Schizosaccharomyces pombe: one gene and its partner. The protein of the gene in region 1 interacts with the protein of each later gene in a pairwise test. Each region holds a gene or a part of one and is shown in the gene's direction. Other genes may lie near its edges.

Region 1 (5,140 bases):
ATAATTTTCATAAAGTAATGAGATGTATTCACTTGATGGAAATGCATTGTTGTATTCGAACGGATTTAATTACGTGTTGCCTAAAATAATATTGTTCAGCTTTCGTGTGAACAGTAGTGAATGAAGTAAATAATCTTCAATAACTAGAGTTTGATCTCTAATATAATAATTTTTGAACATGCGGTATATGTTGTATTTTATGATAGTTTAATAGTTTTGTAATGTAATGATGTTGTTTCTTATTTACTAAAAACATAAGAGTTGAGGGCAGTGTCAATTGATAAAGGAATGGGCTAATATTGACTCAGCTGTTGGAAAAAGGTTAAATGAAATAAAACAATGGTAAATTGCGTATGCTTTGGTTATTCAATTTACTTATATCATCTACGCATTGATCTCAAATACAAAAAAAACATGAATACGTTCGAGTAAGAAAACAACTTGAAACAACAATAATGGTTGTGTATCAAAATGTATATTAAAAAGAAACGGGTGTACTGTTACCACTGCGATAACTTAAGGGGAAAAAAATTTATCAACAAAAGGAAGCAGTCCGAGAATTCTTTACGAAAATAAAATAATTAATTTTGATTTTTGGTAAACTGTAGGATAAAGATCATCACGATAAAAGAAACAACTACAGCAATGATCATTCCTAACTGTAGCCAAAAAGACAGCCTTTTTGACTTAGAGTAGCTTTGAACACCGTGGTTGGCATGTCTCAGACTGTGGGCATTCTTGTCGAGTAAGCTTCCTGTACGCTCTACCACTTGATTATCAGTTACTAGAGCATTTGTGAAAGATAAAGCGTTTTCTTTTAGAACAGATGCCAAATGCAAAAGTGACTCAGATATCTCAGTTTGCATTGAACGCTGGTTTGTGAGCAATTGGGCATTGGAAGCTTCGACATTCGACATCTGTTGTCGCTCTCTAAGCTCCCTTTCTTGAATACTCTGAAGAGCATGCGCGATCTCCTTCTCTTGTTTACTTTTTATCTTTTTCTCTTCAATTTTCAGCTTTTTTTCCATGGTAACATTTAAATCATAAATCCTACCCTGTAAATCCATGATTCTCTTCGAAAGCCCTTGAGGTTCAGCAACTTTGTCAAGTTGGCATTTTCCTTCTTCCCATAATAATTTCCTTGCATAATCAAGATTCTTTTCAAATTTTAAAAGTTCCAATGGGTCTTGAAACTCATCACGTTTCAACTTGAATTGTCGCTCCAACCTACTGATCAAATCTTTACTCATTTTAAAGCCTATGGAGTGAGCATTTCATAAGAATATCTCTCTCCTATAAAGAAAGTTATGTAAAGCGCTTTAAACTGGGGTTCCTGATATTTTATAAGTAGTTTGAGTTGAGTAGGTTATCAGGTGCATGTCATCTTATACACATACTAATTTTCACCTTGTATGAGTATTTTGGGTTTCAGAGTAGACGATTATAGTATTTTATATATTATTCATTTATAAGGATGTACTAACATTTAATTAAAACCGTATTTCTCTTTGAATACGTATTTTTGTACCAAGTGCCTTGACTATAAAATGCTATTTTAATCTCAATCTAATGAAGTATGAGAAGCTTAATAATCCTTATGTTAAAAGAATTGCATGAACCGTAATGCCTTAACTTAAAGGTGTCAATAAACATTAGCGTATTTACCTTACTATATATTTCAAGTCATGGAGGATATATGTTGTAAATAAACTTGACAGAATCTTTAAAAACGCAAGGATCTTGAGTTGCATTCCTTGCCATTGCATTGGCAAATTTTGAAATAACACTTATAGTACGCAAAGACGACCAGGCTGCCTTCGTGTTAGATTTTTGATAAAGCGATCTTTCTTCTTATTTAAATAAGCACTGCTAAAGACTACATACCTTGTAACTCCATTTGTCGTTATTTCAATTTATTCAGACCGGATGTTTTCCTGAATTGAAAATTAAACAAAATTGCAGTCTAACTCTTTAATTATTTGATCAGAGGATTTGTGATTTCTTTAGAATCTCTCATAATTTTATTTTAAACAACTTAATTTATTAAATTTCTAATGTTTGTTTATTCTGTGTTTAGCATTCCACCAGGTTAACCAGTTGTCTACTCTTCTAACAGTGATAATTCTTACCGTCAGGCGAATTCAGCACCTTTGCAAGAGCAAGCTCTGTGTAATAATAATTTATAAACTTTAGCTACTTTTAATTATATAGCCACTGAAAAGGCTTCAATTGCCTGAAATTCTCGTCTAAAAATCAAGTTCAGAGGGATTACTATGCAAAATGGTAAAAGACGTATTGGAGTCCGAATTTCTTCCAATTTGAGCAATCATTCCGGGACTAATCTTTCTACTAGTGCTCAAAGTGATTCTTCAAATATCGTTAAAGCCACTGAATGCCCAATTTGTGGGCTGGAATTACCAAATTTGTCAGCATTAAATGATCATCTCGATGTTACTCATTTCAATGATAATGAAAAAATCCACAAGCGACAAGATTCCATTAATTCATGGCTAACAAGGACTTTAAATGGTGCTTCAGCTCTGCAAATGAAAGCCGCTCAACGTCTTTGGAGAATGGAACCATATGAACAGAATGGGGATTCATCAGGTGCTGTCGGCCTTGAAGCAACTAAGCTCACAGATTCCTTGGTTGTCAAAAATCACTGGCAACCAGAGGTTCCTGACATGGTCTGCCATGACCCGATGTGTGATAAGCTTTTAAATTTCATCAATGGTCATATTCATTGTCGTAAATGCGGTTATATCTTCTGCAACTTTCACTCAATGTACCAGATCAAACTCAGTATTCATGCTACCTACGACTCTGAAAATGGATTTTGGTGTCGTGTTTGTCGAGAATGTTATGAAGGACGTCCTGGGTATAATGATTCAAATGGTTTAATTCGCTCACGTTTTCAAACATTCGAAACTTTTCGAAAACCTTTAGCTGATAAAAGAAGAATAGAGTTTTTAAGATTAAGCAAACGTATGAAAAAACTTGAAGAGCTATGGACATCGGAAAATGTCTCGATGCTTGATGCGCTTCTTTTGAACAAGGCTAAAAGGCTGGAGCAAAGCATCGTTCATTGGCAAGATGATTCCGTTGTACAAATTTGTCCTGAATGCAACAATTCTTTTACTCTAACTAGAAGACGCCGGCATTGTCGGCTTTGCGGACGCGTGATCTGCAGATTCTGTGTATTAGAGATTAGTCTTCCTCAACACCCGCAACCTCTCCTCATCTGTATGAGTTGCAATCAAAATTATTTCCGTAACGTTCTTTATCAAACGGAAAGATCGAAATCACTTGGCTACATCCGACATATTGAACACTTGCAAGTTTTTAGACAGGCTATGGTAAATTACTATCGACTTTACGAGGATTCTTTGTCTGAATTACTAAGTGGTGAAATAATCACTGAAGCGACCCTGAAAATAGTAAAAGATAGACGAAAAAAATTTCTTGAGCTATGTGTGAAATATGATGGAACTATGAAAAAAATCGCCAATCATCCCTCATCCAATGATGCTGAAGAACAATTTAAGCAGAATGTTGTTAATGAAGCAAAAAGATATTTACAAGAAACCATATTGCGTTTGCAGGCCATTCCTTACCATTTGCAGGTTGGCCAAGCTTGGACTTCTGAGTCTGAACGTGAGCTAGAAAAGAAGAAAGAGCAAGTTGAAAAGAAGCAAGAAGAGTTGATGCAAACAAGAATAGTTTTAGAGGAGCAAGTTTTCCTCGTTGAAAATATGATTGAAGATGCTAAAGCGAAACGAAAGTTTTCTGAGGTAGAGACTTTACTCTCCAGTCTTGCACCTTTGCATGAGGAAATTCATTCAATCACTGAAAAGATTCATGACTTGGATCTTTTTGATATTTGAGGATTTTTTCAATAAAGGAAATTTGACTTGTTTAATGATGCTGTTTCACTTTTATGTAATCAAAATTTCCTAGTTAATGTGTTGCGAAGGTTAGTCATATGATGGATGAGTGAATAATTGTATAGATAAATATTTATTGATGAAATGAATTTGAAGACTTTGCTTTCCTCGTCGAACAGCAATGAATGTTATCAATTAAGTTGAATAGGAAGAGCATCTTTTTTAGAGTTAACTTCTGAAGATTAGTATTCCTTAATCAGTGCTTTACTCTCCCTAATAATCAAATATTTTTTTCAAGTGTTATAGTATAATTAAGTTATGAATATGGGGCACAGGCACAAAAATTTAAGACTGAATTAACTTTTTGAACTATCCAACTTTACAAATTTACTTAAAGAATGAATCAATATTCGACAGCATGATAATAACAATGATTAAACTAAATGTAAAATTTATAATATAGATTTTCCCAAATCTATAATACTGAATTTTGATTTTGGCTTTACCTCGTGACCTAAATATCGTTACCTTAAAGACGTGTACAGACTTCATCTACTCCAGAACCACATTATTTTAGATTTTTCCAAACAAGGATTTTGCCTATGGATTCTTCTAATGTACCAGTTTTGAAGGATGAAGACAAGTGCAAGTTTTCGATGCGCTTTACAAACTTCCTCAAGTCTCGCCCTGAGCTGAAAACAAAGCCAGCGATCCTCAATGGAAAACGTGTATACTACTTTCGTGTGAAGCGTGTTCTTCGCTTTTTAACATCCGAAGCGTATACGCCTAAGAAATACAAAGGGTTTCCAGAAATTTCAAGCCGTGAGGAAGCAATCGAAGTTCTCAAATTGCTCATTATGAATTCGATGCTGGTTCGCGTTGATAAACTCCCCCCTAAACAAAGAAAGCAGAAGCTTGTAGAATTACAGATAAATCGTAATCAAGATTTTCAAGACGATATGCATTATGTTTGGCTCTACGAGCCTCTTCCAAAACGCGTTATGGCTTTGGCAGTACTGTTCGCTCTTGTCGTATTGGCACTCGTTTTGTTCCCCTTGTGGCCAATGTTTATGCGCAAGGGTGCTTGGTATTTAAGTATGGGAGGCCTTGGAGTAATCGGTCTATTCTTTGTTTTGGTTATTTTACGTTTTTTCTTATTTTGCATTACTGCTGTCATCGTGCGCCCTGGCATTTGGCTATTCCCCAATCTTCTTGCCGACGTTGGCTTCTGTGATAGCTTTAAACCTTTATGGAGT
Region 2 (5,750 bases), 2.8 Mb from region 1:
ATTCAAAAAGATATCAGTGCCTTTGGCAAGGACATCTTTGAGTTATCTGCCCAGTCTGAAAGAATTTTGTCAAACTTGGCTGAGAAAAAAAATCCCAATACAGATCAATTATTATTGCAAGCAAACTCTTACTTGGCACAGTGGGATTTGCTTAAAGACGAGAGAAATATGTTAAAAAAATTAGGGAGTAATGATTATTTTAACATCTCCATGTACTCAAATCACACCGACATTCATTCACTTTTAAAATGCTTTAGAGAAGCTGTTGATGCCAAGTGGAATTTTAGACGACAAAGGGAAAGGCAAGAAATTATAATCCAGAATGTTGAAAAACTGAAAAGCTACCTAAATTCTTTCAAAGTACAGGCAGAGTGTTCTGAAATTTCAAAAATTCTTTCATTCTCACAAGAAACTGAGAAAAAGTATAAATTTTTATTACAAACAGTACGCAATGAAACAGAAATAGCTCGTGAGCTATACAATATTATTTGTCGAGCAGAGGAACGTTATAGTCAATATGAAAACAGGTATGAAAACGAAAATCGGCTTAACAAAATTAAATTGCAGCATTCTTCCTCCAATGCTTTCAATCCTGAAATCCATAAAATCAAGTTTAAATCGTCAAAAAAATAGGATTATCATATGTGATCATATAGTATTAAATCCGCATACATGTTCAAATTTTATCTTTAAAAGTTGATTAAGAAATTTCATTTTCATTAAGCCCCGTTAATTTAACTAATAAAATATACAATTACACGTTGATAAAAAAATTAACATTAAGATTCTCCTCATTTATCATTAATTTTAGAGTGCTTAGTTTCTGTAACGAAACCCGAGATTTCTACATGGAGTGGATTAATAATGCCTTGATTGTGCTGACCAAGACCTTGACCTTCTTTCCATCCACACCGTTGAAGCATTTTTAACGCTACATTTTCCTTTTTAGATATAGCAGGAACTGGGGGTGATTTCTTAAAAAAATCTAGATCTTCCGCAGCAATATTGTTTGATAAAACCATTGACTCAGACGGCCGTGCTAAAGTTGCATGACTTAATAGGCTAGGAGGAGGTCCAATTCCGGATTTTGAGGCATTTACAATGTTGGAAAGTTTTGCCTCAATTGACAATGAGGGAACTTGATTAACATAATGACTCCAATTTGTTTCACACAAATTTGCATAATCAGATTCTTTAAAAACTGAATAGCTGGTTGGGAATAAAGGGTCATATAGCTCCACCCATTCGTGTTCAACTGCATCCCCAAGATTATCTGAATGAACAGTTGATGCAGGAGGTTCTTTATTTAAATTATTCGGCTTACTTGGATAAATCCCCACTTCAATTTTAAAGGGAGTTGGATTTCTGGTAGTAACAGTAGATTGTGAATCATTTCGACATTGCACATGAGGAATGTTTTCGTTTGCATTCTTCTGGATTGTAGAAGATAGATAACTCGAAACACTTTTTTTCTTTTTGTGGGTTTTCGGTCGGAAATTTGATGGCAGAAACTGTAAGCTATTAAGGTAATCTTTTGTACCACTGTTTTGTTCTGAACATGTGTTGTTTAACGAATGAACGGCTTCGGTTTTATTAGGTGTGTTAGCTTTTTGTAAGTCAGTTTTAGTTTTCTCACTTTCTTCGGTTATTTCTTCAATTGATTTTGAGTCAATTCCTTCATAAAGCATAAAGCCCATTTTGTTTGTGACTCAAATACAATGTTTAGCAATAACAGAATTTCAAGCTAGGCTATGAAAGTAGGTTACAGTGTTCCAGCTGCTTTAATTCCAAGGCACTTTTTAAGGAGTAGTTAAATTAGATATTGACATCGATAGACTAAGGAAGCAGGCTATTCTTCAAAAATTTAAATTACCTTATATATGCATTGATTAATTGTGGAGTTGTGGACAGTTTAACAAATTACCTAAGTGGTGGTGAGGTTACTGAAACTAATTACTATACACCATCAAAGCGCTTACATTGCAACACTTTTAAACTTGAACTTATCTTTGAACCGTTTAACTATTCCTTCTAATTCCAGTGTTGGCTATTCTTCAACATTTTTCATAATCAAGAGTTAGCCTGACTCCCTGTAGTCTTCCTATTTGAACACGTTCGTAAATTTGTGGTCACTTGGTATCACCTTTATACGAATTTAAGTCAATTGCATAAAATTCATGGATTTAGTATCAGCTTCCCAATCTTACTTTAAGCGTATATTTCAGGAAGTCTCGGATTTGAAAATTCTGTTGCTTGAAGAGGACACCACAAAAATTGTATCTTCATGTATAACCCAATCAAATTTGCTGGAGCAGCAGATTTATTTAACAGTGTACAGTTAATAGTTGTTTTTCTAATACTTATGCTAATGTTGACTTTAGCTTACTCGGTAATAAACGTGAAAAGTTGAGACATCTCAAGTGTGTGGCTTTCTTACGTCCTACTCCAACTACCCTTCGTCTTTTATGCGAAGAGCTACGAGATCCTAAATACGCTGAATATCACTTATATTTTACAAATGTCATTCCCAAGAGTTTTCTCGAACGGTTGGCGGAGTCCGACGACTTTGAGGCTGTTAAAAGTATTCAAGTAAGCAACTACGTTTTACACATTGCTTATAAGTCAATGTTATGGAGATTTACAAAACGCTTAACAATCTCTAACACGTATTTTAGGAATTTTTTTTAGACTATTTAGTGGTAAACAATGATCTTGCTTCCTTCAACATCCCCCATATCATTGAAGATTCACCAGACAATTGGCAAGATGGTGCTTTTCATAGAACTCATCAAGGCATTATTTCTCTTTTACTATCTTTAAAGAAAAAGCCTGTTATTCGATACGATAACAATAGTTTATTGTGCCTTAAGCTTGCTGAAGAAGTCAGTTATACAATTCAGCATGAATCTCAATTATTTAATTTTCGAAAGCCTGACACTGCACCAATACTTCTTTTACTTGATCGTAAAAACGACCCTATTACTCCTCTTTTAACCCAGTGGACTTATCAAGCCATGGTTCATGAATTATTTGGGATTGATAATGGAAGAGTTAGTTTTTCGAACTCAACGTCTGATAATGAAAAATCAACTGAAATTGTTTTAAATCCGACATTGGATCCCTTTTATAAAGAAACTAGGTTTGACAACTTTGGTGATTTAGGCGTTAAAATAAAGGATTATGTTTCACACTTGCAAACCAAATCTACAAAAAAAGCTAGCGAAATTGAAAGCATTGCGGATATGAAACAATTTTTAGAAGCGTATCCTGAATACAGGAGGTTATCTGGAAACGTAAGTAAACATGTTTCTCTCGTAAGCGAAATTTCGCAGGTGGTTCAGCGAGAGAACTTGTTAGAAGTTGGTGAAGTTGAACAATCTCTGGTATGTAATGAACCTCAATCCACCGATTTCAATGATATACAACGACTCTTGTTTTCAAATATATCTGAAAATACGAAGTTACGTCTTGCGGCATTATACTCCCTTCGTTTTGAAAGAATCGATCCTGCTAAGGTTTCGGCACTCCAACAAATGCTCATAGCTGGAGGTGTCAATCCACTGAAAGTTTCTGTCATTCCTACTTTATTGCATGTGGCTGGATATTCATTTCGCCAAGGTGATGTATTTCCACCATCCAACCTTTTTTCGCGTGCCCGTAGTGGTTTAAAGGGTTTAAGAGGTGTTGAAAATGTGTACATTCAGCATAATCCTTTTTTGAAATCAATTCTGTTGGACCTGATTCAAGGAAGACTCAAGGAAACCACACACCCTTTTCTGAACTCTGAAACAAGAGCTCAAACGTCTAATGAAAAGCCTCAAGACATTATTGTGGTTATAGTAGGGGGTGCAACGTATGAGGAAGCTCATTTTGTTTCGGAATTTAATGCTACTCAACCTGGTGTACGTATAATTCTTGCGGGTACAACAATTCTTAATTCTACCGCTTACATTGATGTAAGTCAACTTCAAAAATTTCTTATTAATTATATAACCACTAACCATTTAGGATATTATGTATATGTCAACCAGAATAAAATAAAACAAAACGCAGAATTTTTCCAAAACAAAACTTTTATAGCTATCAAGCATTTTTCTTAAGGTTTTTATGCTTCATTCCACTTAGCAAATATTAAGTAATCGTTAACGAATTTTTGATAAAGAGATTTGCTTGGAGCGTTCATTGCGACCAAAGCCATTTGCTTTTCGTGATTTGAAAGATTTTCATAAACATTGTAAAAGCAGTTTGTTAAAAGTTCTTTGACTTGTATATCGATTTGATAAACAGTTTGGGCGGACATAAAGTCGGTCAAAAGAAAAACAAAATGCTTGGTCGTAGCTTTTACGAATAATCTTTCGGCGTCCGTAAGCGAAGAATTTTTCTTGTTTGAGTCATGCATAAGATTCGGATTCATCCACGTTGTAAGTAGTCTACAAAAAGACTGAACAACATGAATGGGAACTTTTTTTGGTTTATAGAAATTCATGAGAGCGATCCCTTTGATTTTTTTCATTTCACTGTCATGTTGAACCATACTATATAACAAGCTTTTCAAAATGCTGTAAAATACATGAAAACGTCCTGACATATAAGATCGATGATTAAATAGGAGACCATTTAAAATTTGAATAATTTTTAAGATTAAATTTGCATGATCTTTAGGTTCGCACTCTAGTTCTTTTAAATTAAGAATTGTAGATAAAGCCGTAAGTATAGTATTGAAAGAGTCTAAAGAAATAAACTTAGAGGTCTTTTGAACGAAACACAGAAAAACATCTAGAGCAGAGTCTATTAAAGTAGCGGGCTTTAAAGTTTGATTGTAGAAAACATGCGTGCAGCACAACAATACCATATGCACCAGGTGTCTATTACGCTGGAAACAGTCAGAGTAATTTGCAAAAACACCCACAACTTTCATAAGGACAGAATAATCAAATTCGTCACATTCATTAGACGTAAGCAAATTTAAAATATTCAAAATAGCATAATCTGCATCATTAGTAGAAAGCCTAGATAACGCAAGTTCAAAATCTGATACTCTGAAACTCATTTCTCCTACCGTACGCCGATAGTACACCATGTAAGCCACAACTTTTAAAAAGTCATCACCACCAAAACTTAAAAGACACTGGAACAAAATCCAATTCTCCAAAAAAGGCAATTCGTTTAATTTCAAAGATATCGCTTTCTCCTCAATACCCACTTTTAGTATGTGTAACTTATTCAATGATTCGCTAGTTAAGTTTTGAGTCCTTAACACAGAATTGCAACAGGCTAAAAGGCATGAGAAAGTACCACTGCATAAACTTTCTTTCTTAGAAAGATAAGCTGTCATTTCATCAATCAACATGTCGTTAATCGTAAAAACGCTAGACAATATATCGTTGGAATTTTTAATATGCTTTGAAGTAGGTAAAGAGTCCACTAAGGCATTGAAAATTAATGTAATGGTTTCCAAAGGTAGCTCTCGAAAATCAGCTAAAATCAGCTGAAGTAATTTTAGTATAACTTCGCTTTTATTTCCCTCATCAAGATGTTGAATCCAAGATCTCATTATCAATACATGTACTTTATGAAACGATAAATCTGTTTTACCGAATTGCATGAGATCTATGATAATTTTAGGATCACGGTAGAAGCCAGAAGAGCAGGGAGTTTTCATTAGAGTATAGATTATCTTTCGTAAAGAAATGTGTGCCGAATTATCTTTATCAGATAATAATTTCTCATGGATTATTAAAAGATTTAAG

Evidence for each region. Proteins that work in one complex are often made in the same cells at the same time.
Region 2: the proteins of pep7 (region 1) and vps45 interact in a two-hybrid assay, tested with the Schizosaccharomyces pombe proteins (one large-scale study listed by BioGRID).

What each region holds. Positions count from the first base shown.
Region 1 is NC_003424.3:3,599,606-3,604,745, forward strand, and holds pep7 (FYVE tethering component Pep7), read left to right. Parts: upstream 1-2,111; 5' UTR 2,112-2,273; coding exon 2,274-3,884; 3' UTR 3,885-4,299; downstream 4,300-5,140. Other genes in the region: SNARE protein Use1, read right to left, coding at 582-1,250; translocation subcomplex subunit Sec62, read left to right, coding at 4,487-5,140. UniProt on the Schizosaccharomyces pombe protein: Required for vacuole segregation and vacuole protein sorting. Possibly part of a complex which tethers the vacuole membrane to microtubules, either directly or via kinesin or dynein-like motor proteins.
Region 2 is NC_003424.3:810,398-816,147, reverse strand, and holds vps45 (vacuolar sorting protein Vps45), read left to right. Parts: upstream 1-1,993; 5' UTR 1,994-2,177; coding exon 2,178-2,332; exon of another isoform or gene 2,333-2,381; coding exon 2,382-2,589; intron 2,590-2,675; coding exon 2,676-3,956; exon of another isoform or gene 3,957-4,008; coding exon 4,009-4,041; 3' UTR 4,042-4,105; downstream 4,106-5,750. Other genes in the region: alx1 (BRO1 domain-containing protein), read left to right, coding at 1-633; rbm17 (G-patch type RNA-binding protein), read right to left, coding at 792-1,697; ribosome biogenesis protein Urb2, read right to left, coding at 4,106-5,750. UniProt on the Schizosaccharomyces pombe protein: Vacuolar protein sorting-associated protein involved in Golgi-to-vacuole protein transport.